Oryzias latipes: one gene and its partner. Each later gene encodes a partner of the first gene's protein in a complex. Links are inferred from orthologs where the notes say so. Each region holds a gene or a part of one and is shown in the gene's direction. Other genes may lie near its edges.

Evidence for each region. The genes of interacting proteins can lie anywhere in the genome.
Region 2: the proteins of eif4e2 (region 1) and eif4ebp1 are in contact, whole or in part, in a crystal structure (PDB 5NVN), measured with the Homo sapiens proteins. The link is inferred for Oryzias latipes from reciprocal best matches to the Homo sapiens genes EIF4E2 and EIF4EBP1. Residues at the interface, in NP_004837.1 of Homo sapiens: Glu53, His54, Pro55, Leu56, Gln57, Tyr58, Tyr64, Arg66, Lys83, Gln84, Ile85, Gly86, Val91, Glu92, Gln93, Trp95, Arg96, Phe97, Ser99, His100, Met101, Val102, Leu107, Phe113, Glu149, Asn150, Leu153, Gly157, Glu158, Gln159; in NP_004086.1 of Homo sapiens: Arg51, Ile52, Ile53, Tyr54, Asp55, Arg56, Phe58, Leu59, Met60, Cys62, Arg63, Ser65, Val67, Thr68, Lys69, Thr70, Pro71, Pro72, Asp74, Leu75, Pro76, Ile78, Pro79, Gly80, Val81, Thr82, Ser83.

Annotation. Positions count from the first base shown.
Region 1 is NC_019875.2:23,171,812-23,179,138, forward strand, and holds eif4e2 (eukaryotic translation initiation factor 4E type 2), read left to right. Parts: upstream 1-2,361; 5' UTR 2,362-2,390; coding exon of another isoform or gene 2,391-2,410; 5' UTR 2,411-2,484; coding exon 2,485-2,507; intron 2,508-2,664; exon of another isoform or gene 2,665-2,780; intron 2,781-3,141; coding exon 3,142-3,253; intron 3,254-3,339; coding exon 3,340-3,474; intron 3,475-3,581; coding exon 3,582-3,686; intron 3,687-3,775; coding exon 3,776-3,928; intron 3,929-4,280; coding exon 4,281-4,417; coding exon of another isoform or gene 4,418-4,421; intron 4,422-5,342; coding exon 5,343-5,391; 3' UTR 5,392-5,419; intron 5,420-5,516; 3' UTR 5,517-6,486; downstream 6,487-7,327. Other genes in the region: capn10 (calpain-10), read left to right, coding at 1-143, 219-409, 921-966, 1,206-1,235. UniProt on the Homo sapiens protein: Recognizes and binds the 7-methylguanosine-containing mRNA cap during an early step in the initiation. Acts as a repressor of translation initiation.
Region 2 is NC_019867.2:12,545,850-12,553,280, forward strand, and holds eif4ebp1 (eukaryotic translation initiation factor 4E-binding protein 1), read left to right. Parts: upstream 1-3,377; 5' UTR 3,378-3,685; coding exon 3,686-3,821; intron 3,822-5,223; coding exon 5,224-5,412; intron 5,413-5,835; coding exon 5,836-5,867; 3' UTR 5,868-6,383; downstream 6,384-7,431. UniProt on the Homo sapiens protein: Repressor of translation initiation that regulates EIF4E activity by preventing its assembly into the eIF4F complex: hypophosphorylated form competes with EIF4G1/EIF4G3 and strongly binds to EIF4E, leading to repress translation.

The DNA of each region.
Region 1 (7,327 bases):
TCCTCTCTCACAGGCAGAACCCGTGCTTCCCTTTTACGGTGCGTGCTGAGCCGACGGTAAAACCAGGGGTCAATGTAAGGATTACACTGCACCAGAGCCGGCCTGACACCGACCTGCTCCCTATCGGCTTCCACGTTTATAAGGTCAGTTTAGCATTAAAAGAGTGCGTCAGGGTGGATCAGAAAGGAAGAATTTGAGTTATGTTTGTCTGTACACAGGTACCAGAAGGGGGATGTGAGCAGATGTTGAAGGAAGAGGATCCTGTGGCCAGTTGCCTCCCTCACTGTTACACACAGGCCATCAGTCTGGACTGTTCCCTCCCTCCTGGTTATTACACCTTAGTGCCATCCACCTATGAACCCGATTGTTCGGCAGACTTCACCCTCAGTTTGGCTCACAGAGTACACAGGTTGGCCTTCAATTTTCAAAGTTCTTCGAATTATATCGTATAGTATAATTGAATAGACTGTATTAGGACTAAAGTGGTCCCTCATCTTTATGTTTTACAACAATTATAAATGTTTTATGGCTTTAAAACTCCTTACTACACACCTTATTAACATTTACACACAGTTGACTTGGGTAAGAATACACTTAAAATTCAAACCTTTGTCGGAAAATAAGTCCAGTATTATAGAATGTAAACAAAGATCTGCTAGAGGTCGAAGATTTATGTGAATCTTGCATCTGAAGGCAGTCTGTACTGGAGACATGGCATGGGGAAGATTGATAGACAAGGTCTACAGCCAATCAGGTCGCAGAACACAATGCAATGTAAAAAGGAAAAAGCGTAAACAACTGCATTAAAAAAATCTGTAAAACAGCGAGACCATGAAGGGTGAGGCTCAATATAGAGGGATCACTCATTTATTTTAGCTGGATTATTGTGTAACTTCCAAAACTGATTTGACTCTTTTTAGGAAGGTGGTGAAAAGTCAAGAAAAACTCCAGAGATCCATTCAGGAGGTTGGTCTTTTGATTTGTTTTTATTTAAAGTTAATTTCTGCATCTTTATTGCTGCTATTAATTATTGGTAGTTTTACACAATTTTTAAAACCGATCTACAACTTAGAAGAAAGCATATATGTATTTATACATCATGTAACGGTTATTTTACACAAGCTGCTTGTGTTTTGGATTTTTATAGCCGTCAGAAGATGGCAGCACTGAATAATCCCTTTCTTTCGTTTCTGTTTGAATGGCAGGTCTCTCGCATCTCTGTGATGCAAAGCTAGCTGTGCCAATGGGATGCAGCTCCAGTGAGATCAGATCGCCTCCCTGTGCCTCTTGGCCAGCGATGAAACAACCCAGTCCCGTCACCCAGCCTCGCCACAAAAGCCATGACGTCAGTGTTGGTGCATATATGTATTATGAGTGACTGAGAAGGGAGTCGGAAACACTGCTGACACTCTGCATTTCTGCGCAACAAGGCACTTGTCAGCGATTCTGAAAAGTTTGTTGGTGGGATGGGCTGCTAATGAAGTATGACGGGACCGGCTGGTGTAAACAAACAGCCACTACTGAAGAAGGCCGCCTCTGCTCTTTCTCATTCACTCAGTGCAGCGCCTGCCGGCACAAAACAAAGAGTCCTCTCATGAAGGTCCTCACAGAAACCCAGAGGGCAAGGGGTGAGGGGATGGTCTGGAACAGGAGAGCCAACCGAGCCACACCACGCCATAGCATGCCATACTATCCATAAGCTTTCTGTGCATCCTTCGCCTCGTGTGCTTTTAAAACTCAGACTTCTGTTATAGTCCCATAGCAGAAACCAACACCAATGTCAAGCTGACCCAAAGACACATAGTCTCCAGCTCCTATCCTGTTTCCCAGACTAGGTCCACAGCTCCGCTTGGAGCTGAACAGAGCCAGCGTTTGAAGATGCCGAGAGAACGAGTGACAAGCGAAGGGATGAAAAGGGGAGTGCGGCACATCAGAGAGAGGCAGATCATCTGATGAAGCCGCCAGTTCTCTCTATTGAGGCTGAGCATGTGCAGTGATGTGTGCCTTATGGTAGCCATGTCTGAGTTTCTGCTCAGTCACTGGGGCTGAAAGTGATCAACTGATCAAAATGGTACTATGTTATGTTTGTTTTTTTGTTGTCCGTTTTGTATTTATGATGCATGTTATTAGGTACGGTGCAATAAATAAATGTTAAAACACAAGTTGGATCATTTTACCCTCATGGGGCTTGGGTTAATTCTATCACATACATTTGAATAGAGACCCTGTGAATGTTTGAAGAGAGGTGCCACTGTCACCCTTGACCCCTTCAGCTCATCACCGCGACCAACATACCGCATGCGCGCCCACGTGCTTCTATTGCGCGTCGCCGTTCCTGCGATTTCCAGGAGGCTGTGATCGGATTCCTGACGAGTCTCAGCCAGGACAGAATGAACAACAAATTCGATGCGTGAGTAGCAGCTCTTTTGCGTTAGAACTTCGATCGAAAACGGTTCACTGTCTGGAAACGGGGAATCAAGAATCATGCGTTACGCATTCAACGAAAGGTGTGTCCATTTTATCAGCACGATGCAGTGATAGATCTGTTATTAACCCGCATATCAGCGAAAGTCATACCGGTGTGTACTTTAACTGCATATGGAACAGCAGCATTACATTTATGGGCGTTTATGTTGAGTAGTGTAGCCAGGCTGCTAGCAATAGCTTAGCAAAACGGAAGACGGGTAGGCCTCGAATCCCCGGTGTAGTGGTAGGGCAGAGGCCCGGAGAGGGTGTGTGCAGTCACGGTGTAAACTGTGAACGGGAAGACGGATCAAACGGTGATTTAAAGCAAATGTAGTGTTAGCATATTTACGCTGGTGTATTTGTGTGCATAAATTGATGCCGTTTTTCTGTTAAAATATCCAACATTAAATACAAAGTGAAGAACATTCCAGTTAATCGGCTAGTTTAGCCAACAGCAACCCGGTAATGACTGCATGCTTAAACGAATGGACTTTTTGTTTTTCCTGTTTTTATCCTTTAAGCAGCTTTTATTTTTCATGATGGACTCGAGTTTGGTTTATATCATCATTGTTAGTCATTTAAACACATTGCACCTTTTTAGATTTTCCAGCGAATTAGGGAAGTGAAGATCATTGGATGGATCGTTTTTGAATTTAACTAACTTTTCGTTTCCAGTCTGAAAGACGATGACAGTGGAGATCACGACCAGGACCAAAGCTCACCGAAAGATAGCGAAACGATAAAGATTGAGGACGACGAAAAGGAGCAGAACACAACTAAGAAAAAAGTGAGTTAGGAGATTTCAGTGTTTGCATGATAGAGCGGCCTGAATTCCTGAAGGCACCTACTAGAGCTTCCTCGTTTCTTTTGCAGATGGTGGTTCCAGGAGCAGGAGAGCATCCTCTTCAGTACAACTACACTTTCTGGTACTCCAGGCGCACGCCAGGGCGACCAGCAAGCACCCAGAGCTACGAACAGAACATTAAACAGATCGGCAGCTTTGCCTCGGTTTGTCATCTCTGTGACGCTCTTCACATCTGAGCCAAATGATGCCATTGCTCACTGGCTGTGCTGCAGCAAACTATCACAACCATGAACGCTCTGATCTTTTTCAGGTGGAACAGTTCTGGCGTTTCTATAGTCACATGATCCGGCCTGGCGACCTAACCGGTCACAGTGACTTCCACCTGTTTAAAGAAGGAATTAAGCCCATGTGGGAGGTGTGTACACTTGCTACACGTTTTAATGACCTTTTTAAGGAATGTGTTTGGATACTTTAGTGATGTTTTTGCTTTGAAACTCTGATTAGGATGATGCCAATAAAATGGGCGGGAAGTGGATTATTCGCTTAAGAAAAGGCCTTGCGTCCCGGTGCTGGGAGAACCTGATCCTGGCCATGCTGGGGGAGCAGTTCATGGTGGGAGAGGAAATATGTGGAGCTGTGGTGTCCGTCCGTTTTCAGGTAAAAACTCACACCAGCGAGGCCTAATGCTCTACAACAGCATTTGTACAACAGTGACAGTAAATAAGTGTTTACAGGGCGTAGTTATCTTCTTTTTGTGTTGTTGTTGTTTTTGTTCCACAAAGACAATAATTACTGTAATTGAGTTTTAAATGCTTTTAGTGAAAATGCCTTACCTGCAGTGTTTACATTCTTTTGACTACTGTAACGCAATTAACGTAAATCAGCTGATTCTGTGACGGAGAAAAGCAGCTTTCCGCCATTTTGGAACCCTTTACGTTAGTAACAGCTCCAGTGCCAAAGGGTTAACTATCCAGGCCTCAGATGTGCCATTTTTATTTCTTTCTTTCAGGAGGACATCATTTCCATTTGGAATAAAACCGCCAGTGACCAGGGTACCACCGCCCGCATTAGAGACACCCTGCGCCGAGTCCTCAACCTGCCCCCCAACACAATCATGGAGTACAAGACACACACAGACAGCATTAAGTATGTATGTCTCCTCAGTTTACTATTTTCTCTCCATCTTTTGCTTTAAAAAAAAAAGTCATATTTTGTGATTTGATAAACCTTTTTCACCAGGAACCTGTTGAGAGTGAAATTGTGCACATCAGTTATAGTTTTAATGCTTAGAATAAATTTCTTTAAATCGTGGTGTGATGTCTTGCTGTCATAGAACCATCCTCCTCCCTTAACCCCTCTACACTGAATGTATTTCCAGCTTTTAAAAAAAATCCTAATTTTTTGCCTTCAAATAGATGCTAAATTTAGGTAATTTTGGAGCCAAAGTGGTTTGATGCATCGTTCTCTCAATAGGCATCAAGGGGAATTAGGGCTGCACTATTTAAGGAAAACTCGCAATATTAGTGATCAATATTCTGATTATAATGTAACTAGCGATACATGAACAAATAGCAAAACAACCAATAACACAATATCCTTTTCATTGCAAAAGTTTAATTTAAATAAGAGTCAACATACCTGAAATTAAACTCCAAATGACCCTCGTCTACTTAGGAGGTGAGCCTCTAACATGAAAGGGGTCCATCCGGTTGGTCAACAACGTGAAGGGTTCAATCCGATTGGTCAAATGCATAAAATGATCTATTTGATTGGTTAAATACTTCAAGCTGCCATAAGATTGTTTTAGCACATTTAAGGTAACCATTTTTCGCTATTTTTGCCGTCTTTTGCGATATGATTATTGCACAGCTTGATACTGCGGTAACGTGGTGCAGGCCTAAGGGCGATTAAAGGAATGAATCTCTCCAGGAAAAAGTCGTTGCAGAACGACAGATGCTTTGTCACATGTCGCAATTCTGAAGGTTTATGTCAAACTTTTGCAGCCTGGTTAATATTGATGGAAACTATTTAATACTGAATGATGATGCTCTGTATGTTCCTGTGTCTGCAGAGCCTGGGAAGACTTCCATGGGCTGGTGAATGCTAGTGGCGGGCGTTAGCCTCTCGCACAGGAACACTCTGCCAAGAGTAAGAGCTGGCGCCGTTTGGTCCTACCTAATGGCTGTTTCTCCTATTTGTTTGTTTTTTCCACCTCTTCCTCATGTTTCTGTTTTTCTCGCAATAGGTTTGTGTGTTTCTGTGACGTGTGGAGGGGCACCTGGATCCGGGGAAGGAAAACCTCTGTGTGGACCGGCACTGTGTAACAGGAAGACGTGTCAGGAGCAGAGGCCCCAAGGATCAATCCCCCTGTTGGGTCAAATTGGAAGAGAGCAGAGCGAACTGTCAGCACCAAGCCAAAGACATACTTGAAATCAACCAGAGAGGGGGGAAGAAACAGCCTCATTTTATAGCAAAGTTGGAACATCTGTTGACTTGTTATCAGAAGGAGGCTGCGTTACAGAATTTGGTCATTTGCTGTTGACAAAACACCACAAAATCAGTCCGATATAAAACTTTACATGATTTTATTGTTCAGCACAGCCTCACATCCACTGTTAAAAGTTGGTCAGTTTTATTGGGGCTCAAACAGGGTTAATGGAAGATGATATTTTATTACAGTGATGTATTTTAATAATTACCTCTTCAGTTTCAAACAGAGCAGATGCTATTATTGTGTAAAATGTATTTGTCGATGAAGTCCACTCCACGATCACTCAGTTGACTCGTCAGCGACTCTCCGTGGTGACATGGAAGTTGAGTCCTACGACAGAAGACCATCCCATTTAGCTGAGAAGGTTGAAAGAGCCCCATCTTCAGAATGAACTGCCAAGCTGCCTTAATCACTGTGCCTGGCCTCAGGGCCAACACGCACCGGATGTCCATTCTGCAGGTTAGGGTGCATCTGCAAACACGTCAAGGCGTCCTGAAGAAGACCTCAACTCTTTTTTCGGTGGAAGAAACTAAACCACGTCCAGCATCTTGTTCTGGACAGCGTTTGTTTGGAATATAAGCAATTATATTTTGCAGAAACAGCTAGTCCAGATTTGGGGTTGGATTAAAGGAAGCAGATGTTTGTCTAAAGTAAAGTGAACACAGTTGGGTGTACTTGTGATGGAGAACAGCAATAAATGGAGAACATGCAGCTGCTGCTAAAACTTGACTGGTTTGTTCTTTGAACAGAAAATAGTGCCTGCCTGTTGGAGCTGCAGTGTTTCACTGAAGCATCACCAGTGGAGGAGCATCTGCACTGCTCGGCTCATCTCGAAGACCATGTGATTCTGAACAAAAACCAATGGCAGCTGCTTCAATTCAAAAGTTCTCTTTCTCGTAACCCTTGTGCTATCCTAGGCACTTTAACATTGGGAGTTGGGTCATCTAGACCCACTAGACAGTGCGCTGAACCTTTTGTCTTCAATGATTTGTGATCTTCACTGGTGTCCATGGATTACATGAAATCTTTCCACCTTTGTCATGGTAGGGAGAACACGTCAATGTAAGGGTGGGGTCATCTAAGATAGCACAAGGGTTAAATGAAACACTGGAGAAAGCTTTCATGGTGCACGAGTCATCAAAGATCTATGACCAGCCCGTGCCTGAAATTTCACAAACAATTGGAATTAAAGTTCGTCAGATGCAAATGAGTGGCCTTGTGGTAGAGTATCTGCCCAGAGACTGGAAGGTTCAACTCCTCGGCTGAGTAATACTGAAGACTTTAACCCTTGTGCTATCTTATATTGACCCCACCCTTGCATAGACATGTTATTCCTACCATGACAAAGGTGGATAAAGGTGGAAAGATTTCATATAATCCATGGACACCAGTGAGGTTCACAAATCATTGAAGAAAAAAGGTTCTGTCCAGTGGGTCTAGATTACCCAACTCCCAATGTTAACCCTTGTGCTATCTTAGATGACCCCACCCTTACATTGACATGTTCTCCCTACCATGATAAAGGTGGAAATATTTTGCATAATCCATGGACACCAGTGAGGTTC
Region 2 (7,431 bases), on another chromosome or scaffold:
ACATGCAGACGGCAGGAGGGGTAATCACTTATTACTGCCTCCTTCTGATAGGGTTTTCTAGTTACTGCGACGCCCTGAGCTAGTCTTCCCTTTCTTAATCTAAACTGCTCCATGTCGTTTCTTTGTGAGGTTTGTGTTCAAAATTCTGTACAACATCGCCACCTTCCATTCTCCTGTCCTGTCATGGTCGGTCTCCAGGAGCAGATGTAGCAGTCCTGTCTTCCTCCAACTTACGCTGGGATCTCCACCTTCATATCCCAGCTGTGTGTCTTGACTTCATCGTGCAGCATTTGACACCACTTATGCAGCCTCTCTGCGCCAGAAGATGTCACTTGATGAGGTAGCTGAAACACTGGTAATGATGTAGCACTGGTTTGACCAGGCACAATGTGAAATTGGATATAAGGGAGCTTTTTGTCGAGGGAGAAGCTTGTGTCTGGCTAAAATGGTTGTCTCTTCGGATTGTAGCAAAGACGGTCACCGATCACTGTGATGAGAAACTGTATTACTGACCCCTAACTGTGAGCCTGACCTGTCTCTCATGTCCCTTTTTACTTTGCCGTCTTCATCATTGCCTTCTGTCTTGACTGTGTTTCAGAAGTAGCAATAACATCTTACATAAGGAAAGTAATGCTTGTGTCTTGAGTGGGTGTGTATGGCAAACAAGGGCAGATAGGAGTTTACGGTCGTTCAGTGCTGGAGTTTGGAGCTCCTCATTCTATACAGTAATGATGTCAGTGCATTAGCATTAGCATAAAATGTACGCTGGTCAAACATGAGCTCAACCCATCTCATCTGCAGCAATCACACCTTTTTTTTTCAATTTTTGAAAATTAGTTTTAAATGTTCATGCACCTTAAAAGATATTCTGTTGTGGTGAGTCTGAGAGTGACTATAATTTCTAAAACCACATATTTATTTCTTGATGGAGGGGACAATCTCCATGTGATAATGTCAGATATCAACACTTCAAAGGACTATTTGTGGAAATCTAAATCACTTATTTATTATAAGTTTAATTACTATACCATCGTATTGACAATTATCGACACAAATTTATTTAAACATAATATATATTTGAGTCACAGAAATGTTGCAATAAACCTACACTAATGGGTGTTCCGTCTGACTCTAAAGCCAGAGATGATGAATGTAGTCTTGGTGAATTGTTATGAAGTGGTCATCTGTTTTAGCTCTGTATTTTAGTCGAGTATATTAAATTATAATTTTTATCATCATTTTAGGCACAAAGGGGTATGTTTTTAAGAAAAAAATGCTCCAAAATTTTTTTGAATATACATGGACGCTCTACCAGCTTTATTTTAGTCTTTTTTTTTTTTTATAACCACAGAGGTATGATATTTCAAGTTAAATCACATAGGATGATTTTCTCTTTACAGCAGAATTTCCTTTTCAGCTTTATTTTTTTTTCAAATAAGGTATGAAATGAATGCTAATCCAAAATAAATATATAGATATGCCTAAATATTTTAGTAAAGAACTGAGCTATTTATTTGATACAACTTCACAAGAATTCTTTTTTATGGGACTTTTTTCAATCTTTATTTATGTTTGCTTTTTCTTTTTCCATTTCAGCAATGCAGGAAGCTGACAGTAAAGCTGCTTGATCTAGTAAATGGTAATAAACACTACTGTTGTAAAAGGACAGAAAACAATAATATTGGGGGGAAAAAAGAGATGTAATGGAAAAATTAGCGCATCATCTATATCCATTTTGTGAGGTTAATTTTATCGCCACTTTAACTCGCTCTCAATCATTTCTGTTCATAAAGGTTTTTATTTAATATAGACTAAAATGTCATGCTTATGTTCCAGTCTATAAGCTTGTGTTTTGGGTGATTTCTAAAGCAGTGGAACCTATAAACCCACTCTTGATGTCAGGGTTAAAGCTAAAGGTAGGTTTTGTGGCTACACAAAGGCAAGCGCGACAAGCGTCTTCCTCAAAGCAGCCTTCCCGCAATTTTCGTCTGCCCTCATACCAAATGTGAGACTGAGACTTCCAAAATGGCGACTGTTTGAATGTGCAAAGAAAGGAATCCAATGAACGCAAGCAAAGGGAGTCGTGGTCGTGAAAGAGGAAAAACTCGACAGTCCTGCACTTGAGGGCTAAGGCGATACCATGCACCAAATTCATGCAAAAATATAAACTTGCAAAAACTAGAGAATACGTGTATATTCCTTTAGAATGGTTTGGAGACATTATTGCAGTAATATTACTCTATACTAAGGAATGCAACTGCACACATGCACAGAAGATGTTTTTAAAAATGAAAAGAGTATATATATATATATATATATATATATATATATATATATATATATATATATATATATATATATATATATATATATATATATAAAATGAAATATATAAACATATATATTTATTTAGAATGCTATGCACCCTTACTTGTCAAATGGGATTCTAGTTATGTTATGGATGTACTTTTAGCATCATACAGCTGTAGCTACCAAGAGACTGTTGAGTTCTGGGTAATGCCTGCAACACTGGGACAAATAGGGGTATTGTGGGTATTTTAACTAGTTTTGCTTCCTTTTTTTATTTTCATGGAGAGTCAAAGATGGATTTAAAATGTACTTGTAAAATCCTTTTAATCCAATCAAAATACAAGGACATCTATTGACAATTTACTCTGTACACCAGCTCAACATTTACAAAATTAATAAAGAAATGAAATGTCTTTGTGTATGGTGAGTTTGCTTTTGTTTAAGGTACTCCATGACACATCAATTAAGCAATGATCTTAACATGTATGCAATGAGCTTTGTATGTTTCCACAACTGAAAATCACAAACAATTCTATCTTATCAGACTAAATAACTAACCAATTTAAACATTTTTTCCCAAAAATAATCTGCAAAACACATTCAGGTGCATAAGATTTTTAGAGGTGCACAAAACAAAATCTTCTAGGTTTCAAACTATTGGAAATGCCAAGGTATCTCCTTTTTTGTTAAGTGCAAGCACTAAAATATCATGTTTAAACTAAACTACTAACAGATTTTACGCTGCTAATCAGCCTAAATATTTATTCTAGTCTATATTTATTCTGGATTGCTGAACTCTGTATGTTGTAGGGCCATGAGGGAGAAGCACCCAGCTTGATTCACAACTTGTTTATAGAAACCAAGATGAACCTCGTACAAGTTCACAAAAATGACTAGAGTCCTAACTAATCCACACTAAATGTGCGCAATTTGCTGTAAAAGTGAATATGTTTTTTTTGTTTTTATAGATCCCTTTGGATTGAAACTACAAAATCAATTCTACATTTGATTATTTTTTTAACGCTGGTGCAGTAGCGCCAGTCACCAGTAGAGGGCGTAGACGTTTTCTGGATAGCATTTTTCCCTGCAGTCATCTGTCTGTCTACCTTGCCTGTCTGTTGTTTTGTATGCATGTGGAAGTGGAGGAGCGTGTGTCCTGAGGTTCTTTTAACAAAGATTATCGACACCTCCTGTTTGTGAGAGCGCGTGTGGTGATAATTTGCACTTATGAAAAAGAGGTATTTATTTTTATTTATCAAAGGCAGCCGTTCTTTTGAGCCAAATAACTATCTGGCTTTGCCCTGGGACGCCCAGAATTTCTTTTCGTGGCATATTATTTAGTTAGATAGTTTTAGTACAAGAGTCCTAAGAAAAGATGTCCACCGAATGCCAGAAAACAACTGCTAAGGCCATTCCGTCCACAAAGAGAGTAACCATCAACAACGCTGATCACATGCCCCACGACTACTCCACTACCCCCGGAGGGACCCTGTTCAGCACCACACCGGGTGGTATGTATAGAAATTTCAAGTCTTTTTCCAACACAAAACACGCATGTGCGAAGATTTACTCAGATTCACGCCACATGGGACCCACATCCTTTTAGATCATCGCTACTGTACAGCCAGCTGATAGCTTGCAGTTAAGCTAGCTGCTAATGCTAGCTAGCGGGTGTTTATTTTAAGCTAGTTTAAAGTAACTCAGTCGTATGCATTTTAAAAATTTGACATATTGTTACATATCTTTATTCTGCTCAAATTGTCTGCTTGTGTTTGAAGTGTTTATCTTGGGTTTCTTGCTTTCTTTTAGCTCTGGCTGTACTTGTTGCTAAAGCTGGACAGAATAGCATGTGGGCGGAGCTTAAGATGTGAAGGGATTTACGGGTCAGGGGTGGGCCTCGGCCTTAGAGGGGCAGGATTTATAAAAACACGAGCTGGAAGGGGTGGGCTTAAACATCAGACTCCGCCCTTCCAAACCTTGTACTGTTACACGTAAATGTAATAATATTTTCCACAGTTCATTGAAGGTGTAACTTTTATACAAAACCAACATGATATTCCACCAGCAACAAGCCTCTCAAAACTATTTATCTGTCATTCTTTACATATATTTATTTTTTATAATCCCACTGGCTGTTTATTATTGTCTCTGTATTGTACACTGTGTACTACATTGGTACACAGATGACCTGATCCCAATGGCGATATGATGTACACATTACATCTGAACCATTAGAGTCGGATCCTGAAATACTTAAATTAAATGTGTCCAAACCAAGATTCCAGATTTTAATGTTGATCTTAAAAGTCATATTTTAACACTTCAAAGCATTTATGTATGTACTTAAAATAATTGCTTTATTTGTTCAAAACGACGGAAGTAAATGGGTCATGTTGTGTTTTCTTTCTCGTTTGGTAAAACTACAGGGTTCACACTGTGTGGCAGCACATTGCATGCTATTTCTAAAGAACAGGGGAGCATGTGCATCAGGTTAATAATTGCTGGAAATAAGCGGTAGCTCCGTTTTTGTGTTGCTTGAGAAAGGTGTCCACCTGAGTGGGGTGGTTGAAGTAAATGGAAGTAAAATTATTTGAAATGTTATTTTTAATCATTTGCATTGATATACACACTAGTTTAATGATTTTTACTGCCTTTTTATGTGGAATTCCTTAGAGATGTGAGCCAAAAAAAAGCATTTTTCTGATAAATCAGTCTTGATCGTCTAACCTGAATACACCTGAAATTATGTTAGCTTTTTTAAACTGCTGGGTGCACTTTTGATCTAGCTTAATGATTATCAGTTGTCTTTTGTGTTCTATGTTTCACTTAACTTATTCATTCCAAAGCCATTTTTCTGGAAAAGCGGACAATTGAAAAAATGTTCTGACGCACAAAGCGTTTCTGCACAAACAGGTACTCGGATCATCTACGACCGGAAGTTCTTGCTGGAGTGTCGGAGCTCTCCTTTGGCAAAGACTCCTCCACGAGGCCTTCCCAGCATTCCAGGGGTGACCAGTCCTCCAACCAAAGAGTTCAACAAGAAGACCCTTAATGGAGAAGTAGTGAACATAGACACGCCTGCGGCTGACAGTAGCAGTGCAGGTATGTTCACAAATCATAGTCTGACCAAAGTATTTAAAAGAGTCAAATTTGGCATTTTGCTCCAGCATAGTGTTGTGTATAACATTTAATGAATCCATCCACAATAGGTAGAACATGGAGTTATTTTAGGCCAAATGCATGTAGTGGTGCAATTTCCAGTGTAATAAAGTTTCTTGTCTGCTTGTAAAAGAAAAAAAAACTTAGTCTTGCAATATAGCATACATAATTAGATGTATTCTAGTTGGGGTTTTTCTACTAAATGTAGAATTTGGTAGCTAAATGCTTAAAGAAGAATAAGCAAGTTGATGCACCTTAATCTTGAAGCAAGATTGTTTATTTTGACTGAAAACATTGTCTGTCAACGTCCTTGTTGCCTCCTGAATTTTAGAAAGTTAAAGTATAATTTTTGTGTGCTTTTTCTAGGTGACGATGCGCAGTTTGAAATGGATATATAGGTGGATCCAATGCTGTGAATGGAGTATCTGGAACGTCTCCTCTTATCCCATCATCATTTCTTTGGAGGAAAAGTGATCTCTTTTAGAATCTGGGTTAAAAATGTCTGTCTTTGATACTCATATTAATGCCTGAAGATCACAAGCCTTTTTTTTTATTCTATTCAAGGTCTAAAACCTATTTGCTGATGATAAAGTGTGCCTTCATGTAGTGGCATCAAACGGAACACAGACACCAACAATGCCTCATCAGTCAGCAGCAAGAAAGTTTAGACATAAAGAGCTCATTTTCATCAGATCAGGAGTGTTCCAGAAGTTGTTTTTTTCACTTAATGCCACCTGTCTTCAAATACTGCCTTTACATGTTCAAACTGTGGAATTTGTAAGTCATGTTCCAACGTGGAAATCCTCCACCTGAAGTGTTGCACAAGAATTGAAAGTTGAATTTTTGATTACATTTTGAAGTTTCACATGGTTTGTAAGGGGGTTAAAAAAATAAACCAAACACCATGAAATGAAGAGGCTTTTTGTCTTAATGGTTTCAATTTTGATCCTAATTTATTTGAATAATTTCTGCATTTTCTGCAAACTTCTATTGGACAGTTTTGTTAAAGTGATAAAAACACCTGAAACCTGATAAACGAAGAGTTAAGATGTATGTCAGAGAGAGAAATCTTTGGCTGCTGCTGGTTCTGGTTAAGGTAACGCTCGTGTCCGAGTCTTTTCAGAGGAACGCCTGGAGGAGCTCACTGACAGCTGATAACCTCAGGGGACTCCACAAAGAAGGGTCAATATACAACAGTACATTTCTGAGAGAAACTCCCCAACTCCACCCAACATAAAAGCCTGAAGTCTTGATGATGCATCCATAAGCCTTTTTATTAAAAACCATTAAGAGAAGATGAACAAACAGCCTTCATCCGAGCTGAGCGGTGTGTTGAGGTGGTTTCTCTCTAAGCTGCGAACGTTCAGCTGTGATTTTAGTGGAGATAATGAGTAAAAACAAGACTAGAAGCTTGGATTCATAACATAAAATGAGTCACAAGTTTGAATTTGTGAACTGTAGTTTTGCTGAAGAAAGATGTTTAAAAACCTGAGTGAAATAGATTTTTATTTTTCAATGTTACAGTTAAAATGAACTAAGTGCTTCCTCGTCCGTGCAACACTCACACCTTAGGCTTAATCCATAAAAAAACTGCAAATAATATATATAAAAATGCATCATCCAGTAACTAAAATAGACATTTAAAATTCATTTGTTTCTAAATAAAAGTGCATTTGTTGTTTAAAAAAATGCATAGCCGTTCAATGTGTTAACATTTTCAAAACCAGGAAAAATAAATACAAAAAAACACACAGAATTGCACAATTGAAGCCGTCTCATATGAGGTCCAAGTTTGATGTTTTAACCTGAACCTCTTCTATTAGACGGCTTAAATAGTGAAATCATTAAAAAGTGACGACGACCAGGATCAAGGTCCCACTGTCACAGATAGGTTGCACACTTTCTGAGTAGCAGCTTCTGCGTCCCTCCATTCCTCCACATTGTCGTGTTTGTTTGCGTCAC